3 linked regions of the Drosophila melanogaster genome follow. Changing the gene in region 1 together with any one later gene gives a genetic interaction. Each region holds a gene or a part of one and is shown on either strand. Other genes may lie near its edges.

What was found. Genes that interact genetically often act in the same process or in processes that back each other up.
Region 2: of spn-A (region 1) and rec, changing one suppresses a phenotype caused by changing the other (phenotypic suppression), as found in Drosophila melanogaster (one study listed by BioGRID).
Region 3: of spn-A (region 1) and mei-W68, changing one suppresses a phenotype caused by changing the other (phenotypic suppression), as found in Drosophila melanogaster (2 studies listed by BioGRID).

The regions. Positions count from the first base shown.
Region 1 is NT_033777.3:30,052,813-30,058,752, forward strand, and holds spn-A (spindle A), read right to left. Parts: upstream 3,226-5,940; 5' UTR 3,128-3,225; coding exon 3,050-3,127; exon of another isoform or gene 2,987-3,049; coding exon 2,054-2,986; 3' UTR 1,884-2,053; downstream 1-1,883. Other genes in the region: Jasper (JIL-1 anchoring and stabilizing protein), read left to right, coding at 1-652, 732-1,493; Rpp14b (ribonuclease P/MRP subunit p14 b), read left to right, coding at 3,324-3,355, 3,437-3,743; Rpp14a (ribonuclease P/MRP subunit p14 a), read left to right, coding at 4,191-4,222, 4,328-4,631; CG7950 (uncharacterized protein), read left to right, coding at 4,647-5,123. UniProt on the Drosophila melanogaster protein: Plays an important role in homologous strand exchange, a key step in DNA repair through homologous recombination (HR). Binds to single and double-stranded DNA and exhibits DNA-dependent ATPase activity. Underwinds duplex DNA.
Region 2 is NT_033777.3:15,828,843-15,835,796, forward strand, and holds the start of rec (recombination-defective), read right to left. Parts: upstream 3,791-6,954; 5' UTR 3,776-3,790; coding exon 1,512-3,775; intron 1,480-1,511; exon of another isoform or gene 1,428-1,479; coding exon of another isoform or gene 1,323-1,427; intron 1,252-1,322; coding exon of another isoform or gene 1,109-1,251; intron 1,047-1,108; coding exon of another isoform or gene 706-1,046; intron 642-705; coding exon of another isoform or gene 448-641; intron 384-447; coding exon of another isoform or gene 1-383. Other genes in the region: CG4576 (uncharacterized protein), read left to right, coding at 1-383, 448-641, 706-1,046, 1,109-1,251, 1,323-1,427; CG43318 (uncharacterized protein), read right to left, coding at 3,926-4,441, 4,549-4,551; CG43317 (uncharacterized protein), read right to left, coding at 4,682-5,092, 5,194-5,523; Arpc3A (Actin-related protein 2/3 complex, subunit 3A), read left to right, coding at 5,924-5,929, 6,071-6,244, 6,355-6,708. UniProt on the Drosophila melanogaster protein: Required for meiotic DNA recombination in females. Probably not involved in DNA repair and recombination in somatic cells.
Region 3 is NT_033778.4:19,452,945-19,460,813, forward strand, and holds mei-W68 (meiotic W68), read left to right. Parts: upstream 1-3,225; 5' UTR 3,226-4,031; intron 4,032-5,027; 5' UTR 5,028-5,107; coding exon 5,108-5,474; intron 5,475-5,532; coding exon 5,533-6,161; 3' UTR 6,162-6,579; downstream 6,580-7,869. Other genes in the region: CG7744 (uncharacterized protein), read left to right, coding at 1-270, 603-1,257, 1,309-2,226. UniProt on the Drosophila melanogaster protein: Required for meiotic recombination. Together with mei-P22, mediates DNA cleavage that forms the double-strand breaks (DSB) that initiate meiotic recombination.

The DNA of each region.
Region 1 (5,940 bases):
GGCGGCCGCCTCCTACAGCATTGGCGACCTGGTGTTCGCCAAGGTGAAGGGCTATCCGCCCTGGCCGGCCAAAATCACCAAGAGCAACAACAACAAGAAGTACAATGTTTACTTCTACGGCACGGGCGAAACGGCCAACATCAAGTTGGAGGATCTGTTCCCGTACGCCAGCAACAAGGAGCGCTTCGCCACCGAGAAGATCATGAAGCGGGCCAAGTTCATCGAGGCCATCGATCAGATCGAGAGCGCCTTGCGCGGCGAGGACTCGGCGCCCATTGATTTGCTCGACGGCGCGGAGCCAGTTGCTCCGCCCACAACTGGTGATGGCGTCAAGACGGAGGAGCCCAAGCCGGAGCCGGGACCGGAGCCAGCCACTGCTGCACCAGTCGCAGCAGCGGCCGAGAAGCCCAAGAAGAGCGGCACCCGGAAGACCAAGGCACCACCGCGCCATGTGGACGGGGATAGTGAAGCAGGCGCGGAACTAGCACCTCCGCCGGCCAAGCGAAGGGTTCCCACCGAGGGTCTGGCTACCGCCGCAGCCATCCCCGCTGCTCCGGCTGCGGCGACCCCCACCTCCAGCAAGAAATCAGTGAAGAAATCCAAGCCCACGGCTGCAGTAACTCCGATTCAGAAGCGGTCGCGGCCAGTCAATGTAAGTGCGATGCAGAAATACCACCAGACATAAACTAGTATGAATTACGATACATTGATTTCCATTTTTGCCCAAACAGAACATCCGGAACGAGATGCTCATGGTGTACATGCCCACAGCCAAGTGTTTGGGAATCGTTATAAACTACAAAAAGCCGGAGAGTTTCGAAAGCGCCGCTGCCGAGGAAGCCTGGATGGAGAACGCCCGCAAAGAAGCCTTGGAGCTCAAACTGAAACTAGAGAGCGGCCAAATCAATCCGGAGTCCATGCCCGATAGGATCGTGGTGGAGCCAACACGCAGCGAAATACCCAAGCAGGAGGCTTTGCGATTCATCGAGGAGCTCATTGAGCACGAGGATGCCCTCTTCATGGAGCGAGACTTCATCCAACTTTCCCAGCAGCTGCGCGAATGTTTGGGCCTGCGGCGCGCCAATGTGGGCAAATGCCTGGAGATCCTCGAGCAGTTCAAGGAGGTGGAGTTCACCAAGTTGATGCTGCTGCGCAATCCGGAGTGCGTGGACATAATGCGCCGACTTCGCCGGTATGTGGGCAATCTGGAGCTCTGGAAAATGGACCTGTCCGACGAGGTGGAGTTCAAGGAGAGGGCGCAGACCATACGCAAGGTCTCCTCTGGCATATACGATGGCTTCAAGAGTCTCTTCAATCCGGAGCCCGAGAGCGAGGACAACTTTTGGATCGACTTCTGCGAAAAGGTAAAAATCTACAAGACCTATACGAAAAATATCAACGAAAACCTTCGCGTCGGGATGAACGAGCGCGGATATAATAGCCTGGTTTTGGCCAAGGAGGCCGCCGCTTCAGCCGGATCGGCTCCACAGTAAATGATCGAGGACCAGTTCTGCTGGACCAATTACATGATAAGGTAGGATGGGAAACCGCAAACCGCTGAGTTGAAACACATCTTCAAGAATCCTCTTTCTTGCAGTTACTCGTAAGCGTTACAAACCAGGCAACTTAAAGACCGTGCTTTGGATGACAAAGTTTTGATGAGCCAAGTGGGCTATGCTTAATTCTAGGTTAAAAATTCAGCTAAATTCCTTAATTCTGTTTGCCTGCCAGGTGCATGTCGTGTTACGCTGCGCTGATGGGGCTTTTCCTGCTGCATCCGCTTATTACCAGACTAAAAAAAAGGTTTTTGCTTCGAAACCCCTAAATATTTTCTAAGTTTGTAGATGATTTGAATAATATTGAATTAAATATAGATGGTACATACAATTCGCAACGGCTGTTTTATTTCGTCGTTATCCTAAACATTCTAAGTAAACATTAAAACAAAAAAAAAAACAATCTACGAAGTTTAATTCTTAGTCTAGGGATAAGTAATCATTAGAAAGTTAGGGAGCTCTATTCCTAGCATTAATTAACCTATAAGTGAGCACAATTAGCTCTCCCTGGCGTCTCCTATTCCATCCGGCAGAATGGCGAACATGGCCTCCGATTCCGGCAAACAGGGCGAGTCGTAGATCTTGCAGATGCGGGTTTCGCCTTTACCCTTGCGCAGATACAGCCGCGTGGTTGAGGAGTGGGCCATGATGTGCCCGCCAATGGGCTTCTTGGCATCAAACATGCCGGGTGCGCCGTCCAGCGAGGCAGTAACCTGGTTAGTAATTACCACAGCCACTCCGAACTCATCGGCCAGGCGTTGAAGCATGCGCAGAAATAAGCCCAAATGGTTTTGCCTGGCGGCCAGCTCCCCGCGACCAATATAATCGGATCTGTAGAGCGCCATGGCACTGTCCACAATCAGCAAAGCGTATCTGGACTCAAAGAGCATGCCCGCCGCCATCTGGATGAGCTTGGTCTGCTGATCTGAGTTGTGGGCACGGGTGAAGGCCACATTGTCCAGCACCTCGGATTCATTCAGTTTGTACCTTTGCGCGATGGCAGCCAAACGCTCCGGACGGAAGGTGTTCTCCGTGTCGATGTACATGCACTTGCCCTCGCCGCCCTTCTGGCTGATGGGCAGCTGGCAGGTTACTGCCAGAGTGTGGCACAATTGGGTCTTTCCGCAGCGGAACTCGCCAAAGATCTCGGTAATGGATCCCGTCTCAATGCCGCCGCCCAGCAGTTTATCCAGCTCCTTGGAGCCCGTGCTCAGCTGCACGACATCGGCACGCATTTGATAGAAGGTGCGAGCACTAAGGAAGCCCAGAGGCACCAGTTTGTTAGCCTCCGTGATGATCTGCTCCACCTTGCCGCCGCCCAAGCCGGGAATGGCCATCAGTTGCTTCTTGGTGGCATTGGCCACCGACTCCACGGTGTGCAGACTGGCCTGCTGGAGCAGCTTGATGTCCTTGGCCGTGATGCTGCCGCCCTAGGAGGAGGATATCGTAGGGAATGCCCATAATAATCCTGGTCGAGATCGCAGCCTACTCACTATTAACTTAGTCACGCTGAGTGGACCTTCTTCCTCCTCCTCTTCCTGCTGTGCCTGAACATTCGTTAGCTTCTCCATTTGACAGTTTCGAAGTTAAATTTGACTATTTGTTGTTTCGAGTTTCGTTATTTAAATTGCACGTCTTGCGTGAGAGAATTTCGACAAAGACTGCGCGGCGCGCAATTCACTGCAAAATCAGTTTGCCAATCGCCCCGAACGCACAAAACTCTATCACTACAGAGGATCCCGCTTAAAAGGAACGCGCAAGATCACCATGGCGAACTATTACTATTTCGACATCAAACTGTGAGTAGAATGATGTTCTGCGGTCATTAATATAAACTTGGTTGTTATTAAATTCAGTAAATATATTCATTTATTTAATAGTAAACTTCGGGATCCGACTGCAGTTGCTTTGACCCCATCTCTGTTTCGAAGCTGCGTTCTTGACGCCCTGGACAGTTTCTTCTGCGAGGAGAAACCCACACTGGAGATCGTGAAGTTCTGCGCCCAGCAACATCGTGTTATCTTTCGAGTGCCAGAGCAACTGCACGACATGACCCGCATATCCATTGAGCTCATCGGTCACTACCAGCAGATACCCTGTCATTTTGAGATCTTGGAAACATCCAAATCATCGCTGGACTTTGAGAAGAGCATTGAAAAGACTGTCGCGGTTGTGTCCGATGATTAGGACTAGCGAATTGTAATACTCAGTGTAATATACATTATAACCGTCATGAAGAATTTGAATTTGAATCCTAACTGATTTTACTGTGATCTGATTTTTTTGTCATTCACAACGAACTGAAATGATTTCTGTGATGGCTACTAAATGAGATTAAAAAGCGGAAAAACCCCATAAACTTGTAACCATTTTAATAAAATTGCATTTAAGTAGTTCCAATAACAATTTAAATGTTTTAATAAATGGCTATAATTTTAGCTATTTTATAACTACTCATGTCCGTTGTGAGCCGAGCTGGCATCTCTGGCGGCGCACAGCTGTTTGAGAAGCAGAAAGAAACAGCAAAAAAGGGGAGTAATTACATAAAAAAAACACACTGACCGGCAACTTTTGGACGACTTTTCCCGAAGATTCCGCCAAAAAAAGAGGGGCACTGGCACTTGCACCCAAAGCATGAGTGGTTACCAATATCTGGACGTGAAGATGTGAGTTCCGGGCACTCAGCCCCGCTCCTTAAAGCCCCGTATTTCCCACGTGCGCACGTGCATCATGCAAATATAATTAAGATAATTCACGTTTTTAATCGCCAGAAAACTCCGTGATCCAGACTCCGTGACTCTGACGCCCGTATTCTTCTGTGGCTGCATCCATAGCTCCTTGGCTAGTATTTTTGGCGAAATAGGTGGCCAGACCATACTGGAAATTGTGAAATTTAGTTCCAGCCAAAAACGCTCCATTCTCCGGGTGCCCGAGAACGTCCTGGATCGCGTTCGCGTAGCTATAGCCCTAATAGGATACTACCAGGAGGTGCCCTGCCATTTTCAGGTGCTCAGCACATCCCGAAAGCCCTTGGATTTTGAGGAATCCCCCGAGGAGTTTGTAGCATTTAACTAGCATTACCGCATCAGGATGTCATTCTCTTACTGCAAGGAGTACGGCAAGGACAAGGTGATTTTTGTGACCAAGGAGGACCATGCCACGCCCAGCACCATCGAGCTGCCGCCGCCGGAAAAGCCGGAGGGCGTGATCACCAAGGACGGCAAGATCAACTGGAGTTGTCCCTGCCTCGGCGGCATGGCCACCGGTCCCTGTGGCGTCGATTTCCGTGAGGCATTTTCCTGCTTCCAGAACAGCACCGCCGATCCCAAGGGATCGGACTGCTACGATGCCTTCACCAAGATGCGCGACTGTTTCCAGAAGTACCCCACCGTGTACAACAAATCTGGCGGTGATGACGACGACGATGATGGCTTGAGCGAGGCCTTGGACACGGATGCCGGTTCAGTTGGTGGCCAGAACGCGGATCCGCTGGCGGATGTGGGCAACAACGGAGGCGGCGATGAGCTGGTGTCCCCCAATAGCAGTTCAGTGGTGCCCAAGGCTTAGGTGGGAGTACATAAGATAAGAGCTAGGTGTGACTTCGTACAAAATAAATAAAACTTGTCATTAACTTCAATCCATCCCCACACTATCGATCGTGACTGGGAAACATTTATCAGCCAGATAGTCTGGAATTAACAGAGATATTGTTGAAACAGCATAGTGCTTATTTCAGAAATAAAAGATACTCGTTTTCTCAATTAAATTCTCGCTTTTTTTACAAATAGCGAAATACACAAATAAAAAAATGTAAATGTATCTTGTATTCACTGTAGCCAATAGGCCGTTATTTCCATATGTTGTGTATTTCTGGTATATACTCGAAGCGCTCCCACCTCGTTGGCAGTATTTTTCCACCCTGCTGCCACACTGTTTACGAAGCAGCAATCAAAGAAAACGGAAAAATAAAAGCGTATTAAGATTTCGTGTGGAAAGGAAAAATGCTGTAGGCGCAGTGTAAAATGCATATATTGCGGATAAATCGCGTTTGTGAGATGCTTAAACGCGAATTCAACATCAAGTCGGTGCAGAACTTCAAGGTGCAATAACAAAAATATCCGAATTATCGAAAAAAGCAAAGTGCAATTGGCCAGTTGAGACTACAACCACAATAACAACGACAACAACAGCAACAGCAGTGAAATAATAATATAACCTTGTGTTTTGTTTTTTGTGGCTCAAAAATCAGATATACACAAAGTTAATCGAGGTGAACGGTGTAAAAGTGATTAAATAATAACGGTTTAACAGGAAAACAGAGTTATAGTGTGTGCGAGTGTGTGTGTGCGTAGTGACAACAATACAAACGCAGAAACCAATACAA
Region 2 (6,954 bases), about 14 Mb from region 1:
GCAATCCGCAGGATCCGGAGCGACTGCTTCACACGGCAGCTGGCACTTTACTCGTTTCGGGATCATTGATCACTGTGACCTTTTTTGTGATCAGTGGTTTGTTGCTTACCATTAACTGGCTGGCCGTTTCACGTTCGCTAGAATCTAAAAAGGACACCTGGAGCTTCGGCCAGTATGCTTTGCTATTTGTCAAGTTTAACATCTTCCGATACATCCGACTGACGGTTCCATATGCCTTTGTATTGCTCATGAGTGGCGTTTACTTTGAGAACGCTGGAGGTCCACTGTGGCGGCACATCTTTGAGCGGGAGCAGTTGGCTTGTCGACGCAACTGGTGGACCAATCTGCTCTACGTCAACAACTTTGTACGCACGGATGAGCGGGTAAGTAATGAGTGCTTTATCTAATTTATCATCTAATCCACTCAAAATTCCATTCGGGATGCAGTGCCTGCTCCAAGGTTGGTATTTGGCAGCGGATACTCATTCCTTTGTGCTCAGCTTGGTGCTGCTGATGCTGGGTCACCGGTTCGTCAGATGGAGCAAACAGCTCTATGCGGGCATTTTGGGTCTTTTTGTGGTGGTGCCAATGGTGCTCACATATGCCATGAACTACTATCCCATTTTTGTACCCACGCCACAGTAAGTGATCGGACTTAAAAACTTTACTACTTGATTACAATCATTCTACCCATCTACCAAACAGAACCCAGAAGGATTCCTTTATCGGAGATCGTCAATTCACCGAATTCTACACGTCGTCCTTTATGAACTTCGGTAGCTATTTCTGTGGAGTCCTGGCCGCTTTGGTTTACGATCAGTTGGCATTGAAGCAATACAAACTACGGGAGTTAAAGAGCTTCCAGCTTCTTTGGTTTACACTTATTCCAGTGGGGATTCTATGGCTGTTTAGTGCTCATCCCATCTTCCAGCACTACTACGTGACGCCGTCGGCCATTTGGGGAGCATTATATGCCGGCCTGCAGCGAAACATCTGGGGCTTCGGGCTGGGAATCTTCATCGTGGGCATGGCCAGCAAAGTGGGATGTAAGTATCAACTGCGAGATATGCTTGGTATATCCTTGGCAAATCTTACTGTTCTTTCACAGGGATTTTCCGTAAGTTCTGCTGCTTGCCCATTTTCCGCATTTTGGGACGCCTCACTTATGGAGCCTTTATCGTCCACCTTCTTGTGGCGAGAATCGTCTTGGCCACAGTGCGGGAGCCCATTTATTTTGGCACGGGCATGATGGTGAGCTCACTTCTGGCATTCAATAGGAATTGGATTTTATGTAACTCAAATTGTTCTCATCTTATCTACAGTTTGCTTTCATCTTTTTTACGGTGACCGTGTCCTATCTCTGCTCCTTCTTGCTGGCCATCTTTCTGGAGCTTCCCGTCTCCTCCTTCCTCAAGCTTATGAGGTAGCCCAATGTCCTAACTTAAAGATTACTTATAACTAGAATAAAAGACATAACTTAATTAAATCCGTCACCAAAAAATTTCACTTACCCTGCGCCAATCTGGCTGGAAACGTCTTCATCGAGATTGCAGCTTCCTTTGAGCTCAAGGAAGTAACGCAGAACAGCATTGCTGGCGTCCTCGTTTAGGACCGGATTTAATTCCTGGCGAGCATAGGACAAGAACTTCTTAATCAGTATGGGTGGGAGCAGGTCCAAGTCCCCCTCCTCCGGAAGTACCTCCAGACGTTTGTCAAGATCATAATCCTGCTGCATAATGCTGTCATTATCGTCCTCCGTTTTGATTGTGTCATCATCTTTTCCCGCTGCCGGCACATTAAGGCTGACCTCGCACATGGAGTCGCTCATTTTGGGCTTAAGAGCATAGCGGGCTGCAATTCTCGCTCGTTTCCTAGCGCCCGCATGGAGAGCCCTTACGTGGGCAGTCAGCGACATATCTCTCTCCGAGGGCTTGTCCAATAATATGTAAACCAAATGGAACTCCCGCAGCAAAGAGGGTGAAATATTAATATTCTGTAGAAGGTAGCGCCCCTCATCGTATTGTCCTCTTTGTGGATTTGCGCACGCTATCACCGAAGGTTGCGCCGGGAATGAGGCAAATGCTCCTGCAAGTGGAAGATTTACTTCCTCTGATTGTAGGCACTGCAACAGTACGGCCTGCTTGGAGGCAAGTTTATCCACATCATCGAGGGTGCAGTGACCGCCTCCACTGGCCATCATCAAGGAACCCGCTTGTAGCACACGCTTGTTACGCCCAGCAAACGTAACACCCAGTTGCTGTGCGGATTGAGCCCCACGTTTTCCACTCACGTGGGCACCACGTTCAGCGATCTGAGCACAACTTTGCAGAATCTTGGTCTTTCCAATTCCGGGATCACCCACCAGGAGCACGTTGATGGCTTCAGTCTCCGCACCTTTCCCGCCGAGAAGGGATAGTAAACAGGCGGCTTTGGGTAGCTCATGTCCGTATACCTCCGGGGCAATGGATTGCACCAGTAGCTTAAAGCTGTTGGGTTCCGCATTGATCATGACAATCGCTTCCAAGTCACGTTCGCTGAACTCCCGCTTGATGCTGCTCGCATCGCGAATGCTGACTGCCTTGAGATAGGGCTGCATCTGGTTGGAGGTGTCTCCAGTGGTGGTATCGTCGCCCAATTCCTGCAGCTTAAGGATGCCAGTTACCACGACCTCCTGTCCGACACGCACAGCATCAACTAGATCATGTCGCAGCTCCACGTCCATTTCAGCAGGCATGCTGGTCTCAAAGTCGTGGACCAAGTTCAAACTGGACTCCTCCACGCGGATAATCTGTCGGATTGAAAGCCTGGTGTATGGGGAACTGCGAAGAGGCACGAATTCGTCACGAGCCACACACTCCGACCGCTTGCATTGATAAGGACGTGGCTGGAAGGTTCCCCGTTGGCGCATGGCAATCTCCATCTGGCAGCGACTGCAGCGAAAGGCTTGCCACGTGAGGCTGTAGCTAGGCTCGCCCACATTGCTCACAAAACCCCGGATGGAAAACAAAGTGTCCACTCGGGAATGGCTTATTCCTTCTATTGATTCCACAGGCACAAAATCATCCGGTCGTGCGTAGATCTTGCGTACCCGTGGGGTTGGAAGGACGTACTGTTCCGGAGTGGACACCATAGCTGTGGTGGAATCATTACAGTCCAGCTGGTGATTGACGACCACAGTGTGCATAGCCAACGACAGGGTTCCTAGCGTGCGAAGCGGGTGCTCACGGATGTCTTCGGACAAACTAGGCCAAACCTCCTTTAGCTGGGCATCTGATTTGATGCCTGCTGCGCAGAGGGGGAAGAATCCCCGATCCCGTATCATCACAAAATCGAAGGTGTGAGGATTACGTTGGTAGTATGCCTCCACGGCCATTATCCTTGTGGCCAGTTCGTTGCCCTCCTCGTATTTCTCGCGCAAGAAGTACAGTCGCCAGCCGGAATAAGCCCGTGGATTATCCACCGCAATGCTCTGCACCTGGAGCCCGTCTTCTGGTGCGGCATAGTTTTCCGGCCGCAGAAAGCTGCAGTCCAAGTGAGCATTGCGTCCTCGCTTGCCGGCTGTGCGGCTCCAGCCCCTGGGTTGCCGAGTTGCAGGCGGAACAGAAGGAGCGTCTGGTGCTCCAGGTTCCCCTTGGTTGGGTTGTCGATTGCCTCCGGCTGGGATCACACGTCCATTGCGCCGAAAGTAGAAGTACGGACGGTAGGCTCCGCCTCCGCGACCACGACCACGCACAAATCGCGATGGGGCGCCCCCCCGGGAAAGCGTTGGATTCATTTCAGCTGGGGAAAGTTTACAAATTTGCCCGCTTTTAAATAGAGATGATACCTATATTACAAATGACATGAAATATCGATAACGATCTTTGGCTAAGATATTGAACCCTTAACGATTTTATATTTAAACTTATAAATCGATGTAATAAAATTATTTTGGAATTATTTCGGCGGACACTTGTGATATCTTCGATTCTTGCTTCAGTATGCTCAGCTGGGCGGGAAGGTAGTGTTCAAATACACCCGATAGCTTCGACTTGACCTCACGAAATGTTTCCAACACTTTTATCTCCTCGTTCTCATCAGTGGGCTGCACGGCCTTTAGTTCATGTAGTAATTCGGTGCAGCCGTCGAGGAGCATCACCTGCTTCAGGTGAAGCTTAAGCAGCTCCTGCTGAATTGTCTTGATGCACTGGATTTGTTGGTCCATGCGCAGTGGAATCGTGGAAAGAGCCAACATTTGCTCCATATGCTTTTTATCCTTCACGAACATTTTAGCAGCACTTTCCATGGCTTCAGCAGGTTTTGCTTCAATCTCCTTGGGATCTTTGTGCTTTTTATCCTCCACGATCGTTTTATGAATAATTTCCATGTTTTCAGCAGGTTTTGCTTCAATCTCCTTGGGATCTTTAATGCACGGAGCTTCCGTCTCGGTTTTAGCTGGAATCTGTAAGGGAAATTAGGGCTTACTAACTAACTAGCCTTAGAAATTGACAGCTATCGCCTTTTTTTTTGGTTATCTACAGCTTTGTATTTATTTATTTTTTTTTTTACCATTTTGTTCTCTGCTGAAAAGTTTTAGAGACCGTATGCAACCAATGATAAAACTGAATAGCAGATCGAATACTAAGTCAAAGCCTCCTTTTAATAAGAAACTCATAGTTTTTTACAGAACATTCAGAGCGATCTAGGGTTCTGGTTTCTGGTCACCTTTTTTCGGGAAAAGTGAACTCAGATTGACGGGACAGTTGTCCAGGCGGGCCAGTTGCTTAACCATGTCATCCAGGAGCAGGCTGTTCCGCTCGTCGGAACCCTGGATGAGCCCGTAGGCCTCTGCGTTGGCGATTCGGTGCTGCAGAAGCGGCATGTAGGGTCCATTGAAATGCGGCTGTCCATTGGCCAATTCCGGCGGAGGCTTAGCAGTGGGAATAAAGTCCGTTTCCGACTTTGGGGACCGGCAAGTCGGCTGGTTTGGCCGAAACTTTGGAGTCCTATAGCCCAACTTTCGCTTCTTTTCCGCCTGCAAGTGATTTTCGCTCACGTCGTCGGACTCGTAATGATGGTTATAAAACCGGATGCCGTATATTGCGGGCTTTGGCTAAATTAGGTAGATTTATCTTTAGATAAATTAATATTTTGTGTTATAGATAGTGTTGATGGTTAGAAACTGAGACATATCTCCAAATCTCCAATACTCACAGCTCTCTTGCGCTCCTCATCGTAGCCATCGTCATCCGAATCATCATCCTGTTCATCATTGTCCATTTCAATGGGAATCCGGTCACTGGTCACCGGCACCTGGGGCACGAATTCTGAGGCACTTGCTCGGAGTCCATTAGGGGAGACCGCGGTCGGCGGAGAAGCAGAAGCCGAAGTCGGAGGAGTAACGGCTGGAGTCACCTCATTGCTCATGGACTCTAGTTCCAGACATAAACGTTTGTAGGCCATCGTGGTTCTTTCCAAGTGGTTGAGATCCAATTTGCCAGCGATATGGGCAACGTTCTGGAGGAATTTTTTACTTTCATCCATAAAGAGCGAAGTCACAATCAAATTCCTTTGTGGATGGCGCAAACATTAAAAATTTTAAACATTTAACACAAACTTGATTTGTTTAGCATTCGATGTTTCGATTCGATTTCTGACAGAAAATCTGGAACTGTCAAACATATTTAAATTGGTTGATGTACAACAATTTATAAAAAAATATTAATAACGAACTAAAAAACTTGTAGTATTTAATGGAATTGTCCACAATTTTAAAAATTTAGCTCAGTGTGACCATTTCGGTCGCGACTTATCGGTCTTGTCGATAAATTAGAGCTGCAAAATTTGTAAACAGTGGACGCCTATAATTAAAAACAATATTTAACATCGAAAAAATAACGTTTTCAACGTTAATTTAAATAATTAATTTAAAATACAATTCAACATGCCGGTTAGTGGATACTTGCGCATCAAAGGCAAACGAGTTGGCGTTGAGATATTCCCAGTTCTTTTCACCTGCTTTCGTGACCCCCTGCCAAGCATAAAAATTTCCAAGGGAAAAGGCAATCTTGTAAATTAACTATGCTTTCAGGCCTACCACTCGCAGATCAAGGAAGTGCGCCAGCAGGTGGGCAACATGGCCATCCTGCCGCTGAGGACGCAGGTGCGCGGGCCAGCGCCCAGTGCGAATATTGAGAGCGACATCATTGATGAGTCACTGTACTACTTCAAAGCCAATGTCTTCTTTCGCACGTACGAAATCAAGGTGAGGCCGTAATCCGGGATTCAGAACCATTACCTGGTCACGTGATGGTCATATTGAATCCTTATGCTACTTGCTACTTGAATTCACAAACTATGTTTTACCATTTTCAGTCCGACGTGGATCGCGTGCTCATCTATGTGACGCTCTACATAACAGAGTGCCTCAAGAAGCTCAATCGCTCCACGAGCAAGGCCCAGGGACAGCAGGACATGTACAGCCTGGCCATCTCCAAGTTCGACATTCCCGGCGATGCTGGCTTCCCATTGAACGCCGTCTATGCCAAGCCGCAAACGGCCCAGGATGCGGATCTGATGCGCCAGTACCTGCTGCAGCTGCGCCACGAAACCGGCAACCGGGTACTGGAGAAGGTCTTCAACACCGAGGATGGCAAGCCCAATAAATGGTGGACCTGCTTCGCGAAGAAAAAGTTCATGGAGAAGAGTCTGGCTGGACCTGGACAATAAACAGCTATCCACAATATCTGGTATCTTGTTTTGCTTCTACGACGGGTAAAAATACCCTTCAATTAAGTTTTACTCGCAGCGTGGTCCTAATTTGCAGTATCACTGCCAACGTGTCACAATTAATTAAATTCATTAACCACTAAATAAATTATTTGAATTTGTAAGCCTTTCTGTTTTAATTAATTTATGTAAATTCTTTTTACAAAATTAACGTGGATAAAACTGCAAGTAACTTTCATAAATAAT
Region 3 (7,869 bases), on another chromosome or scaffold:
ATACAATGGATTCACCAAGGACGGCGACTACAACCGGGATATTACGTCGCAGCGGGACTGCAGCCTTGGCTCCCAAAAGAACAGCTCCAAAGGCAGCTCCAGCATCTGTGCCAACTCATATTATTCCGATGTCCTGACTGCTCAACCTCCTGCTCCCAAAAACGGCCTGTGCGACCAGTGCAACGAGGCGCAGCGCCTGAAGGTCGAGAAGCTCTCTCAATTCGAGCCCAAGAACGAGTCCCGATTCGATCAGGAACTAAAGGTTTACAGGTGAGCTGTCATAACAATAAGCATTATATATACAATGTTATGGTATCTATGTTTACTAAGAATCAAGCAAAGTAATTTAGCTTGATGTGTTTTATAAATGAGTTAATCGTGTTTAAGTCAAGCAAATAAGATATACAACAAACATACAAATGTATGTCTGAATATGATCTAAATACCCGTATCTACATCGGTTTGCAAATCAAAGACAAGTTAACTAGATTAGATAGTTTCTATGAGTAAGCCGATTTATAATTTATATCTATTAATAGAGAACCTTTAATATAAAAGCTGGGGCACAAGTTATTAAATAATAATATTTATGTTTTCCGTAGAGAACGACTGGAGAAGCAGTTTCGCCTGTGTAGCAGCTGCGAACGACATGTGAATAAAGTCCTGCACGAGAAGAAGAAAATGGTGTTGAGCTCCAAGTTCTTGAACTATATCATCAAGGGAGCATCGTTGCTCAAGCAGCCGCACTTCAACCGATTGGCCGCTGCCCAAAAGCAGTTTAAACTGCAGCGATACCGCATTCTGATGACCATCCTGACTGTAGTCAATATTTTGTGCCTGCTCTGCCGGCTGCCGAATGCAACTTCCATTCAGTTTACGACTTACCTTGGAAAATTCATTGGGCTAACCTTGTTCTACGCCTACTCCCACGTGCTGGCCTTAATTCGAGTGGTGACTTCGAGCGTAGGCATTTTCCTGGAACAGCGCGAAATGATAGCCAAACTTTTATTGTATGGCCGTACCTTTGGCAAGCTCTTGCTGTATTCGCTTGGCATAGGCCAACAGCAAGTGCAGCAAGCAACCTTCGCATCCTGTTTTATTGGGATCTACCCATATGCCATGCTGGCCCTGTGTTTCCTGCACACGATATACGACGGATTGAAATTTACGCGATTCACCATTGCTCTATTGTTATGGAGTGGGTATGCCATGGGTATCGAATTCCTGGATCCTTACATCAGTGGAATATCCTTTATAGTAAGTGCATTTACTTATATTTGAATCTTATTTAACAAATTCTTTAAACAGCTGGTGGGAAGTTTTGTAACCCTTGTTTTGTTGGCCACCAACCGGACCAATCTGTTGAGCCAAGTGAATCGGGACGAGTCTGCCTGTGAGAGCTTCCATCGCCTCTGTGCGGACGAATGCGATGATGAAACGCTGAGCATGCTCAGTCAGCAGTTAAGTGGATACAGTGATATCAGCAATAGCAATTTGTCCATGCGAACCGCCTCTGTGTGCCACTCACCCGCCCCAACGATTTCCCAGCGAACAATTCAGGCGCCTGCTTCTTTGCTGTCCCTGGACTCGTTGCATCTGTCGAAGCAACGGATGGAACAGCAGGCTTGGTCCTCGAACTATGGAGATGCCTCTACAGTGGTTGCCCCGCGTGTCCAGCCGGCGATGATGTTTCAACAGAAACCCATGAGACCATTAGAGTCCCAATGGTATCGCCATGGACAAAGTAACCTGGCCCAAGGCAATACTTTCACTAGATCCACGCAAAATCTTTTGATGCCATCGCGTTTGCCGTCCATAAACAGGAACGTCGGCGGAGCTGATGTAAGCGCCTGGGTGGCGGCCAATCAAAGTGTGAACCAAGATCTATGCACTGCCAATCTAATGAGACATTACGAAGAGAAACAGCAGAATCAACTTTCCCGCACTTCGTCACAATCTTCTGGATTTGAGTCGCAGCCACGTCCAGAAGCCCAATGCGGAACAGGTGCTGCAACTGTAAGGGACTACGGCTGGTCCGAAGCCCGTGAGAGTCAGCGAAATTTCGCAGTTTTTCCGCCAATGCCGTCACCTACACCCACAATAACGCCTAGTGAATATCAATACTCGAGGACTGCTCTTCCGCAGCAACAGCCAACTATGCAGCCGGGGGATTTACTTAGGAAGTGGATTGAGATTAACTCAAAATCCTCACAGCCAATACACTAATGTGATGTGAGGTCATAAATATCTAGAAAAACTTAGAAAAAATTCTGGAAAAGATCACCGCCAGTTGGGAAATTATATAAATTTGACTTAACTTAATTATCAAATAATTTATTTTTGACTTACAGTTTTTAAGCTTCTTTATTCTACTAAAGGTTAGTCCTCCCTTTACTTATAATCGACTAAATAAGTAGTGTTTAGCTAGACATTCTTTAATCTGTGTAGCTCTAAGTTTCGTGGTTTTCAATATAGAACTTTTCAGGGAATTGAAAGTCAGGGAGTAAGATTAGAAGGTAATATAAATACTACTTGATTTTAAAGGGAGAATAAAGCTTTGGTAACTAAGTTATTTATTCATTGAAGACAATCATTCAAAGTTTGTTTTTATCGTTAACTAAACTTTTGTGACTCACATAAACTAGATAAATTGTTTATTATACAAATACATATTTTTTGAAATAAAAGCAAAACAAAAAAATGGTTATTATTTTGTTAAGTTAAGTGCAGTTATAAGAAAATATTCATTATCAAGTTAAATTCAATAATAACAGTGACCTGTCTTTTTGGTTGTTTTTCTCTTTTAAAAAATGTTATATTGTTCTCTTAGATTTCAGAACACGCTCTCTTAGTGCAGTGCTGCCAGTTGGTTAACGGCGCGGTGTAGAAATCAAAGTGGCCGTTTCCAAAGTCGGCACGGCACTTCAAAAATTCATACATTTGCCCCTGAAAGTATGTTGTTTATGTTGTTGTTAATATTGAACAAATATATTATGAATTTAAATTATCTTAATAAACAATTATGTATATAAGGTTGTGTAGCCTCTAACCATTCTCGAATGTAAAATTTAGCTGGTTATTTCAAATTACACATTAATCAATCAGTCTGTGGGCGCGGTTTTTAGATGACAGCTTGCTGTATATTTAGTATATAAGTAGTAACAGGAGAAAAAGTTTAGTATTTTTGAATACCGTCCAGCTGGCAACACTGCTACAATATGGCTGCCGTATCGTAATGTGAATTTTTTTGAGAGACCGAGACGTACATACTTTTGTTGCTGCCAAAGTGGATGTGGACGGAGGAAAATAGTAATATTTAACTGCGTTGCGGGAGCGGGACAATCGTCGTTTGCCAATTGCGGCCACCGCTTATGTCGGCTAATCGGCTATCAATAATATTAGTAATCGTATCAATATCAAGTTACCCATTACCCATCGCGGATACACATTAGTTTTGCGAAGGGCAGAGCAGCGCAGAGCATATAGCGAATATTTCCATTTGTTGCCAACAAGACTGTCGTTGTTGTTGTTATTATTGTGGCTTTTCAGTGACTGGGGAGAGCAGTGGGGGTGCGTTCGTAATCCTTGTGAAAAATCGGTGACCGTTCTTCTTAAAAAAAAAGCGAAAGAAAAAACCATCGCGATAAGAAAATATAAGAAAGAAAAATCTGATTGAAAACCAAAGAGCTGCTGCTACTGCTGCTGTGCGAGTGAGAGCGGTCGAGAGGTAGCTAGTGAGCGAGTGAGAAAGCTATGTATTGCATTTGCATTTCGTTGTGTGTGTCGTCGTTTTCGTTCGGTAAAAGTCGGTAAAAAGCAGAGCCTTTCCAAACCTAACCACTTTCGGGTAAACGGAATCGGAAAAGGAACTGGGAAAATCGAAAGAAATTAAATAATAATATGCGTTACATCGATGGCAACAACAACAACAACAGCAGCGACCATCAGCTAGCGACTCCTCTCTGAGCGAGAGAGCTAATAGCTTTTCAGCTTTAGCTTTTCTTGGGCCAATCGGAAATTGTATTTCATTGGTAAGTACAAGAAGTGGCAGCACCATAACCAGCAAATCAATACTTGGGCTGCCATTCCGTTTCGTTCCGTTCGTCAGTTTTCCTAGCCCATTCGTTGGCGCTCTCTCTTTTCCGTCAGTCTCTCTCTTTCTCTTCCCCAAAAGAGAGCGAAAACCCCCCGCCCGCCCACACTCGGTGTATGTGTGCTTTGTAATAACGAGTACACTTTTCTGCACATACGAAAAAGAAGGAAAAAAGAATAATAAAATAAGAAGAAAAAATGAAAGACCGAATAAAGAAATTCACATAAACTTATGGCACTCTCCCTCGCGCTCTCTTCATTTGCAACTAGTGTGCGTGCTTAAATTTTTAAAAAACAGTTGTTTTCACCGAAAGGGAATTTTCATTTCGATGGTATATTTTTAGCCAGCAAGCTCCTTTCGGAAATTATTTATAACCCCCCTCGAAATGTTTCCACGCAACGATTTACGCGATAAACTTTTACAAAATCAGATATAAGTAAGTGCAAAGACCACTTGATTTTCGTATAGTATGTAAGTCCACGAATTGCTTACGTATTTATGAAATATTACTGTGCGTAGGTCGGTGGGCGTGTTTCAACGTTTTAGCCCACAGTTTTCACTCATTTTCCTGCGGGGTTTCCGCTTGTGACAAAGGCATTCAAAGAACCAACAAGAAAATCCCGGGGGCGTGGCACCACCCATGCAATTAAATTAGACCAAAAAAGTGCTTACACTTTGTATTCTAGAGAATGTTTCAAATCATTGAACATAAACAGAAGAATTCATGCGAATTTAGAACTAATGGAAATTGGGAGCAAGGATACATAAAGTTGGAGGAATTCAAAAATGTAATTGTTTAAAATTTAAGCGTTAGTAACCAAGTTCTTGTTAAAATATATGCCGCTTAATTAAGTTTAAATCTGTTATTCACAAGTAAAATTATATTTATTATTAATTTCTCTTAATTTGGATATTAAAAAACCTCATTTTGTAGATTGCAAGAGTACGAAATCAAGAAGACGTACATATTTGTTGTTAAGAATCCGTTCCTAATATAAGTAAATTGCTAGAACAATGGATGAATTTTCGGAGAATATAGAAAGAATTGCCCTCGAGTTGCTGAGCAACTTGGTTCATGGCAATGCCACTCTTAGTGTTCCCCGAAATTCATCCGGAAACGTGATCTCGGAATATCGACGAGTCAGCTATAATAATCGCGGAAGTCGCCATAGCTTTTGCGTGCTGATTTACATGCTCTCCCGGGTGCACCGATTGCAAGTCCGCGGAGGAAGTTTCACCGTCCGTGGACTATACTATGACAATCCTCTGCTAGTCCGGTCGCAGTCCAGGATTGCCGAAGCCAGGCTAGATGTCTGTCGTATGCTGAGGACATCCCCCCTAAGCTTGGGCATACTGGCCGCCTCCAAGGGCCTGGTGGCAGGTGAGTTTATCTCGAAATCCTGATCAAAGGCTCCCTGCTCATCCGGTTACTCTTGCAGGCGACTTAAGGCTGCTGATGACCAACGGAGACGTTCTGGACAGCAGCTTGTATGGTGGACCTCTGACATTGCCCACGGATCCCGAGAAGATAGATCGAATCGAAACGCTGGCGGAATTTGTGCTAATCGTTGAAAAGGAGTCGGTTTTTGAGAGTCTCTTATCCAGAAATGTATTTGGTACTTTTGAACGACGCTTCATCCTTATAACTGGAAAAGGATACCCCGATTGCTGTACCCGGAGGATTGTCCATCGGCTCACCGAGGAGAACCAACTGGCGGCCTACATTCTCGTTGACGCCGATCCATTTGGCGTCGAGATAATGCTAGTCTATCGCCATGGCTCGAAGTCCATGAGTTTTTCCAGCCAAGGACTAACCACACCTGCGCTGCGTTGGATTGGTCTACACCCCTCGGAGATTCCCGCACTCGGCACTGGAGCGGTTGCCCTGGTTGCCGGCGACAACAAGAAAATCAATGACCTCCTCGCCCGCCACGATTTGGAGCCGGGAGTGCGGCAGGAACTGCGCATGCTGCAGGACGTTCAGCTGAAGGCCGAAATCGAGAGTGTCATCGACTTCCTGACCGACGACTATATACCAAATAAAATCAATCGGAACTTGTTTTTGTAGAGTTCAGTGGTAAACCCCATAAGCCAAATATTATTACTCTTGAAATATTATTAGTTAGTTTAAAATATGTTGTAGGTATAGTAATATAGTAATTAGTTTGTAAAAAACGTATCTCTATAAAGATACCATAAGACTCCTAAAAATAGTACTGTAAAAGTTAGTTCGCGTAATCAGCTTTCCATTAATATTTGAATTAATTAAGATAGTAATTTAATAATTAAATTCCCCATTCATTGGGATTCCGATTTTGTTGCTTATGTTATAAAATGTAATGTTTAATTTCAATGCAGCTTTAATAACGTCAATATAATATTACGACTAATTAATATTAAAGTACCTTAAGATCCTTGCCTTTAGAAAACATAATTTTAATATTTGGATAACGGATAATAGTAATTTACACTCGTAATGTCTGAGTAATCTGCTTCTAGTGTTTCGTATTGAGTGGTCAACTTGATTTTCTGCATTACTTTGTGTGGACGAAGCCAGTAAACTCAAGCAGACAAAGGAGATTATTTTTTTTATTGTGCCTCTAAAGTGTTATGGCTTGAGGTCGGTAATCGGAGCCGGTAATTGGCTACGTTTTTGATAATGGCAAGTGAATGGCCAGTCATATTATAGGTGCCGAAAGATACAAGTAGTCTGCTTTGTTTAGATCCATACTAATTGCGTGCATTTATTTCTTGCAGATGTGAAGGAGTACCACGGATGATAGAAACCCATTGGGCATTTGACTACTTTTAAGCACCGAAACCTGAAAGACTCCCGAAAATACTCGAATCTCACGTGCAGAATCTCTAAGAATCCCTATTGGACTGTTTAAAAATATGTCGACAGCAATGCGCACCACACTGCAGTCAGTTCCTGAGGCCCTGCCAGCGGATAGCGTGTCCAATGGCACAGCATCCAATGTAGCAGCACCGGCGGCGCCAGTATCGAGCGCAACAAACGCGGTGCCACCACTGGCCGCCGTCTCCAGCACAACCGCCACCTACGCCACCAACTCGATCAGCACATCCTCGCATTCGGTCAAGGATCAGCAGCAGCAACAGCAGCAGCAGCAGCATGATTCGGCCAATGCAAACATTGTGTCACTGCCACCAACGACAACGCCAGTCGCCAACACTAACACAATGATGCCCATTGTAACGTCCTCGAATTCGGCCACCAGCAATAGCACTGCGGCCACGCCCACGCCGGCCTCGGGGGCGGCAGCGACAGGTGGAGTGGGATCTGTTTCCCAGGGTCCAGCGACCGTTTCGGCGTCAGCGGCCAACACCAATCACTCGCACCAGCACAGCCACCAACACCACCACCATGTGGCCAACAACATGACCACCGACGGTGCCCGCTTGTCCAGCAACAATTCGGCGGTGGTGGCGAGCTCAGCGATTAACCACCACCATCACCACACCCCCGGCAGTGGAGTGGCGCCCACCGTCAACAAGAACGTGCTTAGCACCCACTCGGCTCATCCCTCCGCGATCAAGCAACGAACCTCGTCCGCCAAGGTGAGTCCTTCTTTGGGTTTCGTCAGTGTCCGTACCTATCACCCGTCCCCACGTCCCCTAGTCCGTTTTTTTGGGGGCCTTGTTCATCAACCCATCTCTTGTTTGCTCCTGCAATGTGGCTTGGGTCATCAGTTTTCTTGTGGTCCATTTATAGAGGGTATCAAGGGAAGGTAGCCTGTCGAAGGTGAAGTGAAGAC